Linked DNA regions of Drosophila melanogaster. The protein of the gene in region 2 purifies or fractionates together with the protein of the main gene of each other region. This does not show direct contact. Each region holds a gene or a part of one and is shown on either strand. Other genes may lie near its edges.

Region 1 (3,724 bases), on a different chromosome or scaffold from region 2:
GAATATAACAAGTTTTTATTCAAGTTCAAATATTTTTGAATCTGTTTAGTGAACTTACTTTTTTATATTCTTGATGGCAAATTATTGGAGGCATGTTAGTAACCAAAAGTATATTAAACATTTCCGGATTTGGATTTGGAAACGGGAATGTTTCGCCACAAAACGTGCATCACAACTAATGGCAAACTCGATACAACTTTGGAATATCCCTTTGATAGGATTATCTAAAAACGTGATAAGCTCGGTCATTGAAAATACTGACTGCCGCTCAGAAAACCCCATGACTGATAATTGTGCACAGCTAGAGCCGTATCATCATCAAACTGGTTTGGACAACTCTCGTAATAATACCCTTAACTGCGCCATGGAACCGTCAGTCTGTCGATTGGAACCCATTTAGAATGTTCGGAGCGCATCAGAATCTCTCAATTCAGCTGGTGATTTTTCTCTCCTTAGCCGTCACCATTTGCTTGGGATCCCAAAATGCCACAAGCTGCGGGCATCGCTGTGGAGGAGGCGACTGTATCCAACTGGACCAGCTGTGCGATGGGAGCGCCAACTGCTTGGATGGTTCCGATGAGACGGTCGCCATGTGTGAGAAGGTCTGGTGTCCGGGTTATGCATTTCGCTGCAGCTACGGTGCGTGCATAGCCAGCACAGCGGTTTGCGATGGCGTCCAGGACTGCGTGGATGGTTCGGATGAGCAGGGTTGGCTGTGCCGGGCGCAGATGCAGCAGGCTAACTGCGACAACTGGGAAATGTACTGCTCCTCTGGCCAATGCATGACCTATTCCAAATTGTGTGATGGCATCCGTGACTGCCGAGATGGAGACGATGAGCTGGAGTCCCTTTGCGAGGGCGTTACCATACCAACGACTACAGTCAGTTCAACGACAAGTACAACTACGGAAAGTAGTATCCATAGGATAACTCCCACTGTTCCTGTAACAAGGAAGGCGTCACGACCAAATCCTCTTCAGGAGAACGGGGAGTGCGTGGTTCCCCAACTGCCAAACGTTATGGTTAAGCACTTCACAGATGCAATCCTCACTGTAGGATCAAGGGTAGCCAATGGCACCCGTATCTACTACGACTGCCCGGCGGAGCACAGACTGAAAGGCGAGAACCAGAACATTTGCCAGGACGCATTGTGGGCTAGGAAGTTTCCTTACTGTGAAAGTAAGTTGTGTATTTATCAAAAGTTTCTTCATTAATACTAATTTATTTACTTTTAGCACCCCAAGCGTATGTTTTCAGCTTGGTTATAGTAATATTCTGCTTCCTAATCGTGGTATTGGTGTTTCTAATTTGGCGGGTGCGTCGAGAAAATGGCTCAAGAAGGCAACGAGAGGAGCACATTTGGCTGGTGGAGACCAGCAGTAATCTTCCCCAGACATCTTCAATACCAAAGGTCTAGGAATTAATTTTTACAAAGCTAAACATGTGATCACGCATACTTACTTATTTACCAGCCAAGTTGTTGATAAAAAGTACTGTTAATTTCAAACTATCTAGGCTTATCTTATGTAAATAATGTTATTTCAAGTTCTCCATAAAAATTAAAAGCTTAAATACGAATGTATATTTATTTTTAGAGTAAAACGTGAGAAGTAGTATTATATTGTAAATATATTAAAACAGATTTAAGAACATAATAATTGTGTTATTAGGTTGCACATTTTAATTTCGGCTGTTAACAATACTTTTGCGTTAACAGCTGTAATGCTAGAACCACTTGTTGCTGCGACCCAAACTGTGACTGAAACAGTGACTGGAAATAGTGGCATTTCTGGTGGGAGCGAACGCGGTCACACCTGCCCCACTAGTGCGCCAATATTGCTCCAGTGCTTCGCAGCGTAAGTATCCCAAGTTCTAGAGTGGCTCCATGCCAGATACCGCCACAGATTAGATAACGAATTGCACTTGCAGCCGGCTCAGAGTTCCTTCAATTGAAAATGGCCAACATTGCTAAGATCTTCGCTAGCCGCGCCCAGTGCGTCCTGCAGGCAGCCGCCCGTCAGCCACAGGTGGCCACCCGTTTCAGCAGCTCCTGTAAGTAGATGGTTGATTGCGAGGGATCAAAGTCCACGCGATTGATGCCCAGCTCCAACCTAAGCCGGAATATCAAGATATCAAGTGCCGCCGGTTTCTTGGCGACATCTTTTGTACTTTTCCAGGCAAATAAACATTGATTGCGTAACATTCGCGCACATACGATCACCTCATTTATGATGCCATCTCTTTTCAGCCACCAACAACAACTGGGAGTACATCAAGACCGAAGTGGCCGGCGAGGGCAAGAACGTAGGCGTGATCACCCTGAACCGCCCCAAGGCCCTGAATGCCCTCTGCAATGGCCTGATGAAGGAGCTGTCCACCGCATTGCAGCAATTCAGCAAGGATAAGACCATCTCCGCCATCGTTTTGACGGGCAGCGAGAAGGCCTTCGCCGCTGGCGCTGATATTAAGGAGATGGTGGGCAACACCTACTCGCAGTGCATCCAGGGCAACTTCTTGAACGACTGGACAGAGGTGGCCCGCACCCAGAAGCCCATCATTGCTGCCGTGAATGGTTACGCCTTGGGCGGTGGCTGTGAGCTGGCCATGATGTGCGACATCATATATGCCGGTGACAAGGCCAAGTTTGGTCAGCCTGAAATTGCCCTGGGCACCATTCCCGGTGCCGGTGGCACCCAGCGTCTGACCCGCGTCGTTGGCAAGTCCAAGGCCATGGAAATGTGCCTCACCGGCAATATGATCGGCGCCCAGGAGGCTGAGAAGCTGGGTCTGGCCAGCAAGGTGGTGCCCGCCGACCAGTTATTGGGCGAGGCCGTCAAGCTGGGCGAGAAGATCGGCACCCACTCCAATCTGATCGTGCAGCTGTGCAAGGAGGCGGTTAACACGGCTTACGAGACCACTCTCCAAGAGGGCCTGAAGTTCGAGCGTCGCACCTTCCATGCCACGTTCTCCACGGTTAGTTCAAGTTTAAATATCTGCTTAACACTATTTAATCTCTTGTATTTTCTTTCATCCAATAGGCCGATCGCAAGGAGGGCATGACCGCTTTCGCCGAGAAGCGCCCTGCCAAGTTTACCAACGAGTAAATACTACCCTAATCAATCCCAGCCAGCTTTGCATTTATATTATCTAAAAGAAAAACTGTTGTTTCTACGCAATTAAAACTTTAATCGTGATAATTTGAAAATGAACAATTTACCATAATTTGTCATTAGTATATGAGGTATGCTAGTCCGCATGTCAGGTGGTAATCCATTAGTATAAACATGGTATGGCCACTTGACAGTCGGCTTGCTAGCCCGATTATCCTCCTATTTCTAATCGAAACAAAATAAGTGCTTAGGTGACTTCCATGGTTGTGTCTTGTTGCTTTCGAGTTTGGAAGGCATGTTTTTTGGAAAATTGTGCGCTGTGTAGCGTTGCCTTCGTGAAGAATATTCAATCTCATGGAAATCTATACCTCCCCGTATCCTTCTCGAGCCATGTGGATTTTTATAGTGCCTGGAGGCATCGGAGTCATCGCAACAACGAGCTAAATGTCGATAATTTCGTGACCGTGAGTAGTTCTTATCCCTGTGCATGGGACAATGTTCTGTAAATCGGAAACGATTCCCCTTTGGTTCAATCACACAGGGATCACTTAGTTCGGTGGTAAACTCGTAGTTTCGATATGTAACCAATCCTCGACGTATGCCCGGATTTTGTG
Region 2 (3,424 bases):
ACGTTTTTGCTCTATAATGATCTTAAGGACCACAAGTAGTTAAGTAGATCCCATTGGATCCGACTAACATATGTAGAACAGGGAATGCGGCACTTGTTTTTTTGTTTTTTAACTAATTTCCATGAACCCATGGCCAAAGCCATGTGCCACTCGCGTTTTTTCGGTCACAAAATCAAACACGCATCGCTATTTTCACTTTAAAAAAAAGATTTTATTTAGTTTTTCTTCTTCATTGTACCGAAGAACCCTTAACGCGCACTATAGACAGTCGGAGTATCTGGATGCATTCTAGGCCTTGACGGCGAACTTCCTCTGGGGGAAGACGGAGCGCTTGCGGATCTCCTTGAGGGTCTTGCGGTTGGCGTCGCGCGGAGACAGGGCCTTGCGGATAGCGCGGGTCTTCTTCTTGCGCAGATCCAGGGGCTTGTACTTCTTGTTCTTGAAGACCTTGCGCAGATTCTCCTTCTGCTTCTGGTGCATCACAATGTAGACGCGAGCGATGGCCTTGCGGACAACGCGGCTGTATGGATAAGAACGCACATAAATGCACAAAACACCGGAATTAGTTCGTGACGCTTGTCGTTGTGCCGCGGCATACTCACATCTTGGAGAGCTTGGAGGGAGCTCCGCCGGTCACCTTGGCCACGCGCAGGCTGAGCAACTCATTCTTGAGCTCATCCAATTGCTTGGTGAGTTCCTTCTTGTCCTTGATCCTCAGCTCGGAGCACTTAACCTTCACCTGGACGGGAGCACAAACAAACGGGCAGAAAACAAGAACATTAGTATCGCTGCACTGCAAATGGCATGTTCATTGGCCCTTGGGCTGAGAGCATCGGGTGTCGATGGGTGTAACCAACCAACCATTTTTCTAGCTCTGCTCTTTAACACTCAGCACAGAACAAAAAAACCAACGAATTTTCCGTATTCACTAAACCAGCAAATTAAGAAATTCAGCACGTGGCTTAACGCAACCTCTCCGGAAACGCGGCGAAAAGAAAAGGAAAGAAGAAGAAGCAGAGGTGCTAGGGGTGAGCACAAAATAGTGTGCTAGCGTTGCGCGTCTCAACTAGCGTGGTACTGCATTATTAATCGCATTTTGTGTTAACACCATGAACGGCAGTAATTTGGGGCGCGTTTTAGCCATTACTTTGGCTTTTAATTGTTCGTTTCGTTGTAAAATAGGTTAGAAATCTTTTCGCTCACAAAATACCAACCATTTTTCTCGCTGGTCACGTCAAAAAAGAAAGATGGGACTTGGAGGAAAGAACTAGTTGGTGGTGGCACTATTGTAACTTCGAGCGTCGAACCAGTGGCAACGCTGATATCGAACCGGTTCCGAGTCCGTCATTAAAATAGATAAATCAAATTACTACGATTGCAAAAATATTCAATCACAATATTTACTTTTTTATTTTGCTAATGCCAATGAAAAGCTAAATAATACCATTTTAGAGAGCTATAAAATTAAGACATTACGCGTTTCGGAATTATTTTTCGAGGAAAATTATTTCTTATATAATTTAAACGTTTATATAAAATAATTATAACACCAACTATTTTGAGCGCAGAAGGAATCCTAAATTTATGATATTTTATAATTATTTTTTATAATTAATTTTTTTTTTTTAATTAATTTTTATACAACAATATAAGGAACGCACTGTTACCTATGTGGCAACAAAATTTGATCTGCTTAACGTGTTTTAGTTTTCATTGCGCGTTTATTATGGTAGTAACAACAGAATTATTTTTTTAAATATAGTTAGTCCTCCTAAGTCAAGACCCGATCGGTTTTGTTAAAAGGGTGGAATTAAATTATTTTAAGAAGCTAAATGTGTGTGCAAAAAAGTAGCCAGATTACGGCCACAGGTCACCACTAGATCGAAGTGGCGGTCTGGCAAGGCTGCTGTTACAGTGGTCCATCTCTATCGTGAGAATGTAAACAAAGCAGCAAGGTGGCAACGCCGCACTCACTTACTCCAGATAATCTACATAAATAATACAATTGGCAATATTCTTATCGTTTTAAGTAAATAACAGTAGTGATAAGCATTAAGCGGAGCTCAAACCACACAATGGCTGATCGGGCTATCAAGCTGCTGGTGATCGGGGAAAGCGGCGTGGGCAAGTCCAGGTGCAGTCCCAAGTCCATGGAGCAATTCCACTGCGTATATTACCAAAAGCTTGCATCACTCATCAACTTTCATTATCATTTCATCATAGTTTGATACGTCGCTTCGTGGAGAACAAGTTCGACCAGAACCATGACGTCACGATTGGCATGGACTTCAAGAGCAAAGTGATGCAGGTGGACGGCATAGACTACAAGGTGGCCCTGTGGGATACGGCGGGCGCCGAGAGATTCCGCAGCCTGACGCCCAGTTTCTATCGGAAGGCTCTGGGCGCCATTCTAGTGTACGACATCACCAGCAGGGACAGCCTGGTCAAGCTGGAAACCTGGCTGGCTGAACTGGATAGCTACAGCGACAATCCCAACATTGCCATCATTGTGGTAGGCAACAAGATCGACGAGGAGCGAGTTGTGGATCGCGAGGAGGGTCGAAAGTTTGCCAGGAAGCACAGGGCGCTCTTCATCGAGACCTCAGCCAAATGCGATCAGTTCGTCAGCGATGTGTTCAAAGATGTGGTGGAGAAGGTGAGCTAGCTACCAACCAAATACTTGGCATTCGTGTTTCCAATTATCCACATCCGCTTTGCAGATCGTCTCCTCCGAATACTTCAACAATGGCAATGCCTCCGCCGGTCTGGACATCGCCAGCGATCGGGATCTGGAGGCAAGCGCGTCTACGTGTTACTGTTGATTTCGAATGTTATGCGTGCTTTTGTCAAATTTATATCGTGTATTTATTTAATCGTTTCAATATCACTAGCATAAAGTCAATCAACCTTAACGTTCAATCGTGTACTCCAATCTGAGCAGGGCTATCGATTCACTTAGCTTGCAGGGTTTGCAGATCAGTCAGAATCCTTTTTAAATTCTATCCTTCTAATATTCCTGTACGGCTTATTGTCCATCTGCTTGCATTTCGTCTGCGACCAGTCAAAAGTCAAGTTCAGCATTTTCTTTTCATTATTTTATTGACATGATGATAGTTTTCCATTTGCGTTCACAAACGCAACAAATAAAGTGGAGAATTGGATTAGTGACCAACTGAAATGTACATGGGCTATGCGATTTTTTTTATTTCTATTGCATCTGGTGGTGTAAATTTATAAGTGAGTTCGGTTTATATTTACAATTATCGATGATTAATATTTATTAATTAACGCTAACAAGGTGGATTTAGAAATCAATGAAGCTGTTCTTCACGATTGGCTCGCTCGCTATTCATCAATTTCTTGTAAATCCCTTGCACGCGACGGATGCTTAGAAAACAAAGCTGGACATTTGGCCGCAACAATT
Region 3 (3,362 bases), 620 kb from region 2:
GTGTAAGAGGTCTGCATCGATAATACCCGTTGATTTCTTGCTGTCCTCCTCGTCCTCCTCGAAGCTAGCCTCCACCTCTAGGCTGGTCTTGGACTCCACCTTGACAACCGACGGCTGTTCGCTGGCCTGCGCATTCGATTCTGTATTGGGATTCTCCGTATCCACTTCGCCATTCACTTTATCGGCGGGAGTGTTCGTCTCGGTCCTTTTCTCTTCAGGACTGGGATCGCTGTCGCTATCGCCATCTATGGCCGTCTCCAAGGTTCCGAATTCCCTCTGAATCTCACGGAATTTGGCGTGAGCCGTGCGCAAGGCCTCCAGATCCTTGAGCAGCGATTCGGTGACCGACTCACGGGATATCTCCTCGACTTCGGTGGGCAGGTTATTGCGCCGCTTTACCCGATCGTAGCGCAACGTTTGGCGCATGGAGGGCAACAGCGGCGGCGGATGATCGTAGTGGTAGCGCACAATGGCTGGCACCTCGATGTGGGCGCGAGCACGCAGATTTCTCTTGGTGCGAAAGGGCGGATTGCGCGTGTTGACACGCCGGAAGAACTCAAGCTTGACATTTTCATGGTCAAGTGGCTGGTGGAAGCGATTCCAGAGACGCACCCGCTCCGTGGCCGAAATGCTATTGGTCATATTGGCATCCTGTGAACAGACATCCTCATTAGAACCCAAGCAGACCTCCATGTGCGTTGGCTGACTTACGATAAAATTCTCGGCATGATTGGGGCACATCCACAATCCAGCTGGCAGTGCCGTCAGTGGCGGATCCAGGCAATCCTGGTGAAAGTAGAGCGGACAGTAGTCGCAGGAGATGAGCGGCGCCCGTTTGCAGGAGCGCGTGCAGTAGAAACAGGTTTTGGCGGGCAGCGGCACCAGTCCCTGGGCATCCAGCTCAAACGGCTTGGAGTTGCGTCGCTGATTGCCGGCGCATCTGCGATTACCGCCATTTCCGCTCGGCGGATGCGTCTGCTGTACGGGTTGCACCTTGCCATTGCCCGGGAACTGGGTGTGCAGCTCGAGCTCCGGCGGCAGCGAGAATTGCTGCGGATTCATCATGGTGGCCGCCCTGATGACATCGTCCAGCGGCGTTGGCTTCTTGTTCGGATCGAGGGCGCGCTGTATGGACATCGGCATTTTGGCCAGCAGCTTCTCGGTGCTATTGCGTTCGCTGTTGCTGCGTTTGCGCAGGTTGCGGATCTTCAGCGGTATGGACTCCAGATCGCCAGACGATGGAGTATTCGCCCGTGAGCCACTGCCCGCCGAAGGCACACGCTCCACGGAACTGGCCTTGGATGAGGAGGCCGGCGGCTGGGAGAGCTTGCTCATGCGACAGCTGTGGCACAGCCACTGGCCACTGGGTATGTCCTCCTCGCTCAACGGTGGATCACTGTGGCGAAAGCACGAAATCAGCACTCAAAATGAGCAGCTATATGCGCGTGTATATACTCACTGGCATTGCAGGTGGAAGCTGGAGGGGCATCGATCGCAGCACAGCAGATTGCCGCCCTCCTCGCAGGCGTCACAATAGTCGTGGTTGTGGCCCCTGCCCGGGCGCCTGTAGTACGGATGCTTCGTGTTGGTGGACCGCTGCATCATCTTCTCGTCCTCGTTGGGCGGCGGGCGGATGAGCTGCTTGATTTGCTGCGCGAAGTAGTAAAGTTATGTTAAATGTGGGAAATGGAGACAGTTGTGAATGCGTTAATGTGGCAGCTCTAGAGTAGCCACCGCCGATTGGAATTGGAGCTCCGGGCAGTGGACACACTGAAGCTCTGAATGGCGTCCCGGCGGCACACTCACCTCCATGATGCTCAGTGAGGCGTTCGGGTCCTGGTCCAATTTTGACATCTTTTTCGCTCGCTCCTCTTATCCGGTGTACACAATCAATCTCGGAGCGACTTCACTTGGCGACGGAGGCGGGCGCAGTGTCGGTTGTCCAGCCCTGCGCATCCGACGAGCGAATGGCCACACTGCGCGCCCACCGATAGGCGATTAACGGAAATTCAGTGCAGACTGCATTTCACTCCAAATCTAACTACTTGCAATTAATAAAGTTTATATTGGGTATACACATTCGTAACCGAAAAATACCCAAGCAAACAAATAGTTAAAAATTAAATACCCAAAATTCTCATATTTCGCTCAGACCTCACTATAGACACCTATATGTTTACATCTTTTGGGCACACCACTAGCTAGCACTCGCTGTTTTGGACCAACGCCCGCTAAAAGAGCATCACAGCTGGCGGACGACGCAATTTGCCAGTTGATTTTACCAAACAATAGAACAAAATAGTGCAATGTTTTCGATATTTGGCAAACGCAAGCCCGCGGAAACGCCCACGGATGACCAGCCCATCCAGGGACCGGCGGAGGCAACCCGTCCAGGCACCAGTGTCGATGATTTCGTGTTCATAGAGCGCAAACCAGTACCGGATGCTCCTCATCCGGGTGTTCCAGCCGGCTCCATGTATCCACCTATGCCGCCAGCGGGCTATCTGCCCTATCCGCCGATGCCAGGACCGCGCAGCGATCAAGTGAAGCAGCCCGGAGCCCAAGGACCCGTCAATTACTTGCAGGACATTCCATTCGAGCTGGCACCCGGATTGGCCAACAAGGATCGCTACACCAGCACCCAAATGCAGGTGGACAGCATATTGGCGCTACTAACGCGCCAATTGTCCGTGGACGAGCTGGCCGAGGAGTACACCTTCGCCCTGGAGCGATCCGTGCAGAACGAGTGTTACTAGCTTTAGATCCATAGATCCACTGGTTAATATTCATACATTACATTACATTACATATAATAAAACGTTGCTTATTTAATTGTAAACCACATATGCAGTGCTCTTTTGCTTGTTAGTGGTGTGAGTCATTGGAATTCCTTAATCTTGTTGCCATACAATTAATGTTCCATTTCTTTGAAAACATGTAGAACTTTTCTGACTATCAAGTAGTCCTTTGGTTTTACCTCGCTCACATTTCAACTGGGACTGCTCATAAGGTGATCCACTATCGCAGCGTGAATACATAAAATTGTTAGTGCTCCCGTTTACCCAAATTTTTCGTACACAAAAAAGATTTCGAAACATTATTTTGTGTTTATAAGTAACCAAGTTCAAAGCTAAATTTCCAATACGTACAAATTTACCAAGCCGAGACGAGCCGTTCCGTTTCGTTTCGTTTAGTTCAGTTCCGTGTAGTACTCTTCAGCCATGGCCAGCTCCAATGTCTCGGATTGGGATGAGCCGATGCCCACGTCGACGGAGTCGCTGCCCGAGGAGGAGGATCCGGATGTGTGCGCAGAGGAGAACGTAAAGAAGCGGCGGGAGGAGGAACTGGACAAGCTGGAGTTG
Region 4 (5,710 bases), 3.5 Mb from region 2:
GAAGAAATCCGGAAATGGGCGACGTTAGGATCGCGGAAAACTCCGGGGAAAAGAGAATTTCCCTCTACTCACCCGCTCATGTTTCGTGTGTTCTTTGTGGTTTGTGCTCCAACAATGATTTGAGCTTCTAATGTTACAATCTATATATGGCACTGTTAAGCGGCAGCTCGTCGATCGATAGTCGCGCCACAATGTTAGCTATCGATAAGTGCAGAAAAGCTCCACTCGCGAAGCTTTCGCAGGGCGGCAGTTTGACTTTGAACTTCGGAGTTTGAAGCTATCGCCGATCCTTGACCAATTACTGCCGGTTGGTGCTAATTTTGTGAGTGGACTCTAATGAGTACTGCTACTAAATATAGTGCTTCGTAGTGTAACAGTAAATGCAAAGATAGTGTTTTTTCTATTATTACCTCCGAGTACCTATAATGTGGTACTGTAAAAACTGGTATATACTATTTTTTCGGACTATTTTATAAGTAAGTTTTGCCCATTGGTTTCGTGCCAAATATGATGGTCCTTTTTAACTTCACAAGTTAACAAAATTCACTTCTAATGCCATTTCTGTATTATAAGGTTATGAAAATTACACACAAACAAAAAAAATAGAATCTATTAGGTAGAAGCCTTCAGTTAAGCACCTTATAGGGATTGAGGATGCTGTTGGGGTCCAGCAGCTTCTTCATCTCGCGCATGTAGCCAATGGCCACCGGGTCCTTGGAGTAGTGCAGGTAGTCCTTCTTCAGGAAGCCAATGCCGTGCTCCGCACTAATGCTGCCCTTCAGCTTGGAGGTGTACTCGTAGACGAAGGGTTCGACCCGCTTGTAGATCTCGCCGTTAAACTCCTCGCAGGAGACGTTCAGGTGCAGATTAGAGTCCCCCAGATGGCCGTATCCGCAGACAACTGTGGCCAGGGGACCGCACCTCTCTCGCATCACGTCCACAATGTTGTAGAAGTCCCGCAGAGGCAGCGAGATGTCGTACTTGAAGCAGAAGCTCTTCTCGATCAGACCCAGCGGCACCATTTCGCGGATCTTCCAGATCTCCTGCACCTTGCCGGGATCACCGGTTACGGTGCCATCCTGGATCTCGCCACGCTCCATACCGTCCCCAATGAACTGGTTGATCTTCTCCTCGTCGTGGTCACCGTTGCTGCCCGAGGTCTCGATGAGCATGTAGAAGGGAAATCCCGAAATGGGGGAGCTATGGGAAATAAGTTTGTGAACAGGATTGGTAACGCTCAGAGAAGACAAAGGTGGCGCAACTCACTTCAGGAACTTGAACTGCTCGAGGGCGGTGTTCAAGGCCCGCTCGTCAATCAGCTCGCAGGAGCTTAGAATCTCGCCCAGATTACGCTTGGCACTGACAAAAGTCTTCAGCACATCGTCGAAGGAGTTCAGGCCGATGAAGGCCACGTTCACCGCTCGCGAGGAATGGGGGCAGAGCATCGAAAGCTTCGTGACCACGCCCAGAGTGCCCTCGGATCCTATGAACAAGTGCTTCATGTGGTAGCCGGTGTTGTCCTTCTTGAAGTTGGACATAAGGTCCAGCACCTGACCGGTGGCCAGCACCGCCTCCACGCCCAAAACAGAGCCGTGCAGATTGCCGTAACGCACCACCCGCACTCCGCCCGCGTTTGTGGACACATTGCCCCCGATGTGGCAACTGGCCTTGGCGCCCAGGTCCAGTGGCACCGTCAAGCCCACCTCTCTGGCCCTCTGATCGAAGTTCTCCAGGATGCAGCCCGCCTCCACGACAGCAATGCCGGTGACCTCGTCCACGGATAACACCTTGTTCAGGCGCGCTAGAGAAAGGACAATCTCGTCGCAGATCGGCACGGATCCGCCCACTAGACCTGTGTTCCCGCCCTGCGGCACCACCGCCAAACGACGCTCGTTGCAGTACTTCAGGATGGCGGCCACCTCCGCCGTGCTTCCGGGCTTAAGCACCAACTTGCTGTTGCCTGGTTGAAGCAATTCATCGGAGAAATTCATTAAAGGGCACACGAATGTGAATGAATTTGGTTACACAACCTACCTCGAATCCTCTTAAGGAAGCAGATGTTGTATCCCTCCAGGTCCTCAGTGAGCACGAAGTTCTTGCCCAGGAGCTGCTCGAAATGCGCCACATCCTTGTCGGTCAGAGTGGCGTAGTTGCCGCGCTGCACGTTGTCGGTGATCTGAAATGTGGGTTGCATCAGTTGCATCTCCGCTGCGGACAACTCGCCACAGGAACACCTACCTCTGTGAGCTCCGGGATCGGAGCCCCGCTGCCCGCCATTGTGCGCACAGTGGTTGCGAAAGCGGGGTAGGTGGCTGCCAGGGCGGTGCGACTGGTGGTGGTGATGGTGGTGGTGGTGATAGGCCGCCTCATCAAGGTGGTGGCCCCGGCGCTGGCCAATCTGCGCACATGCAGGAGCTGTTGGAATCTCATCGTGGAGGATGGTTGCGGAAAGGGCTTCGAGTTTATCTGTTATATGCCGCAACTGTTATATGTCTCTGAAATGGGCAATGGGATGAGTACACTGTGGAATACCTTTGGGCCATACAAAATTCGTTACTTTATATTAAGCGTTAGGATGCATAAAAAGCGAAGTTATTATTATTATGGAACGGCTCGATAAGCCGACTCTCTTTGTTTAGACACAATGGCAGACTGCCGGACTTCCCCGGAGCACTAGGATGCTTATCACGTTATCACACCAACATTCATCCACTCGAGGGGGGTGTGGACGCAATCTTCTCCTCACCACGGGCCGTATCGCACTGATAGCAGGGACACCAGGAAACCGAACTTTTCCACTAGACCTCTCGGGCTCTAGGTATATCACTATATATGGCGACGTTATCAGCCCCTCCGACTCTGCGCGTGCATGCGAAATTAGCATATTTATTATGGACCACGCACACACACACTCGCACACACGCACACCGCAGCACGGTCTAGATTTGGTCTGGTTTGAAAAGTGCAATCCACGGTCCGTGGAGTCAAGATCTTTATGAGTCCACACAGATTATTGCCGGCAGGTAGATAGATCCCTACACAGAAACGGTCATAAAGCAATTTGGCTCGGGGCCAGATTGGAAGAGATACAGATTCGGATTCGGATACGGATACGGGTACGGGTATATGCATGGATAGATATGCCTGGAGGATTTGCACCACCCGGTTACGGTGGATTAGCCTTCGTGCAAAAATGTATTTGTATTTTGCAACGAACAATATTTCATGTTATGTACATATTTAAGACCAGTAGGCATTAAATTCACTATTGCAATTGTTATATAATCTGGAGCTGCACATACGCAATTTGTTAATTTTCACAGGAGTATTTATAACACCTCCTTCTGTCTATCTCTTACATATTTAAGTTAAGTACTTAATATAAATACTTTAAGTATAATGCATATATGAATATAGTCTTTTAGCGGGTTAATAGCAGTGCCCATCCCTCGTAATCATTATTGAGATCTATGTTTATTCTCACTCGCTCTCTCTTGCTCTGTATTTTTGTCGTTTTGTTTCATTACGTCAAAAAATTCGAGCTTTTGTGTATGTGTGTGTGTGGGGGCGGGTGCGAACGCGTGTTGTCTGTAAACAAGCGAGACAAACAGAAACACTGGGTTAACAGGTAGCTGATAAGCGCGAAAACAATATCAGCATCTGCATACATATATAAACCGGTTGTGAAACGAATATCAGATGTGTCACTGCAGTTACTAAAGGGATTAATTAGGATCCTCATTCACTAACACACGACAAGTAACCGGGAATGGGAGAGCCTCACGCGCCAGAATCTCTCAATGGAAAATTGAAAAACCGAAAGAGAAACTAACGCAGAAGCACTCAAAAGCATGTTGATCGGAACACCAACTGAACTTACAATGTTTATGTACGGATGGATGGGGGTCACGTCGAGGTCCGGCTACTCCTTTCATCCATAAGTCAGTGATGTCCTTCAGAGCAGCGTCCAACCCGGAATCACAACAAACCGCAACTAAAATTCGAAACGCAAAACAGGGGCAGATTAGCGTTAGTTAAGAGATACGATAGGCGCCAAACACCCCCCCCCCCCCCTCCATCAAAGAATTCAAAATGATCACGGAGCGAAAGCTCCCCAGGAGAGAGAGCGAACTGAGCTTTCAGAGCGAAAGCGAGTGAGTGAGCACACCACAGCGGCGTTGTAGAAATTTCAACAGTTCATATTGGGGATCGATTTGTGTTTTACTGTTTCTGTTTACCACTTCTTTATGGATTCGTGAACGGGAAATAACACAATATACTAATACAAAATTTTTTGTTTTTTGGGATGTTTTTTCTATAATTCAATTACTTCTAATAACCGCAAACAAAATCTTAATGCTTTGGGAAATCAAATTGATAAATCTCTGTTTACCTATTGGAATTTGTTATCAACAATTACCATTTACTATTATTATTACTTCTGTGTTTTATTTATGCCTTAGTTGCTTTTCAAAATATAGCTAGCTGCATTGCAAATTCACTGTGTAGAAATGAAAGTCTTAACATCTTTTATATAAAGAGATTATATAAACCGCTAGAATTAGTTTTAAATTTAAGCATATTTAATACATATTTTTATACCGTTTATTCCTAAAATTGCAAACTTGTAATCAAAACCAGTACGGATATCACCTCGCATAACAACTGTTATACAGCCACTTTAATTCACCACACATGCGTTAGCCACGCCCACTGAACCACTAAACATTTAGCTTGTCTCTGTCCTATTCTTCTCCGCAGGCGGCACAATGGTGCTATCTCTTTTGCACCCCATAAAAAACCTTTTCCGGTGGTGCGCCCATTTTTTATTCGCTTCGATCTTCCGTCGGCATTTTGTACTGCCAATTAGCAGCGACTTCTACAATTCAATCAACTTTGTTATTGTACCCAAAGAAAAATGGAGAAGATAACATTCTCATACACTTGTACCTGTTTCGCAACTCGTGAGTTGACTCCAATAATTGCTTCTTGGGTATCGATAAAGTCCCAATAACGATTGCTAATAACTTAAAATTTATAGCTTACAATCATGGAGTTCAATATTTAATTTTGTATCTCATGTTGGGTATGTTTTGATTAATTTGTGTGTCTCCATACCGAAAGGTATTAAGTTAAATGTCTATTGTTCTGTTTAGGATTAGTAAACACTTTCATTTTCCTTACCAGTAAAATTTTCCTAAAACCAGTAATTTAGTTCAGTTATTATGACAGTTTCTTAGGATTTTTCTTCAATACTTCTGAGTATCAAGGTGTGGATCCATTAAATTTAGAACTTCTGCCAAGTAAAACGGACTCTACCCACGCATGGAAATTATAAAATAACGCCAAGTGCTGCATTATATATATTGCAATTAAAACAATGGCAAGCGCAACCACACATCTCTGTTTGAAAATCGTTTGCAAATTTACAGACGGTGACAAAAATATAGGCATATTTTGAAAATGGAGTTATTGCGGTTTAATAGAATACATAAAGAGGACATGATTAGAAGACAATTGAAACGGCAAATAGTCCTATTTGGCTCCCCCTGCCATTTTCAATTCCTACGCTCGTTCACACCCCTAATGATCTTAGGGGTGGGATTACGTGTACACCCCTTGGGACATCAGAATGGATCCCCTTTTGAGGGTAATTGTATAATGTTTGTTTGGGAAATCGGTTTGTACAGGCCACGGAAAATGGTGGAAA

What was found.
Region 1: the proteins of Rab18 (region 2) and Echs1 purify together in Drosophila melanogaster (affinity purification with mass spectrometry, with the first as the bait; one large-scale study listed by BioGRID). This does not show direct contact.
Region 3: the proteins of Rab18 (region 2) and CG15891 purify together in Drosophila melanogaster (affinity purification with mass spectrometry, with the first as the bait; one large-scale study listed by BioGRID). This does not show direct contact.
Region 4: the proteins of Rab18 (region 2) and D2hgdh purify together in Drosophila melanogaster (affinity purification with mass spectrometry, with the first as the bait; one large-scale study listed by BioGRID). This does not show direct contact.

The regions. Positions count from the first base shown.
Region 1 is NT_033778.4:13,852,430-13,856,153, reverse strand, and holds Echs1 (Enoyl-CoA hydratase, short chain 1), read left to right. Parts: upstream 1-1,822; 5' UTR 1,823-1,955; coding exon 1,956-2,052; intron 2,053-2,248; coding exon 2,249-2,973; intron 2,974-3,038; coding exon 3,039-3,104; 3' UTR 3,105-3,207; downstream 3,208-3,724. Other genes in the region: CG6553 (uncharacterized protein), read left to right, coding at 402-1,179, 1,236-1,417; CG30485 (uncharacterized protein), read right to left, coding at 3,336-3,724.
Region 2 is NC_004354.4:5,670,313-5,673,736, reverse strand, and holds Rab18 (Rab18), read left to right. Parts: upstream 1-1,924; 5' UTR 1,925-2,075; coding exon 2,076-2,134; intron 2,135-2,223; coding exon 2,224-2,656; intron 2,657-2,720; coding exon 2,721-2,822; 3' UTR 2,823-2,910; downstream 2,911-3,424. Other genes in the region: RpL35 (ribosomal protein L35), read right to left, coding at 289-520, 603-739, 1,215-1,217.
Region 3 is NC_004354.4:6,293,998-6,297,359, reverse strand, and holds CG15891 (uncharacterized protein), read left to right. Parts: upstream 1-2,014; 5' UTR 2,015-2,306; coding exon 2,307-2,756; 3' UTR 2,757-2,843; downstream 2,844-3,362. Other genes in the region: CG3815 (uncharacterized protein), read right to left, coding at 1-651, 712-1,396, 1,460-1,650, 1,807-1,854; CG15892 (uncharacterized protein), read left to right, coding at 3,222-3,362.
Region 4 is NC_004354.4:2,139,777-2,145,486, reverse strand, and holds D2hgdh (D-2-hydroxyglutaric acid dehydrogenase), read right to left. Parts: upstream 3,999-5,710; 5' UTR 3,881-3,998; intron 3,589-3,880; 5' UTR 3,485-3,588; intron 2,801-3,484; exon of another isoform or gene 2,558-2,800; intron 2,496-2,557; 5' UTR 2,431-2,495; coding exon 2,239-2,430; intron 2,177-2,238; coding exon 2,035-2,176; intron 1,961-2,034; coding exon 1,267-1,960; intron 1,201-1,266; coding exon 627-1,200; 3' UTR 550-626; downstream 1-549. Other genes in the region: Pgd (phosphogluconate dehydrogenase), read right to left, coding at 73-80.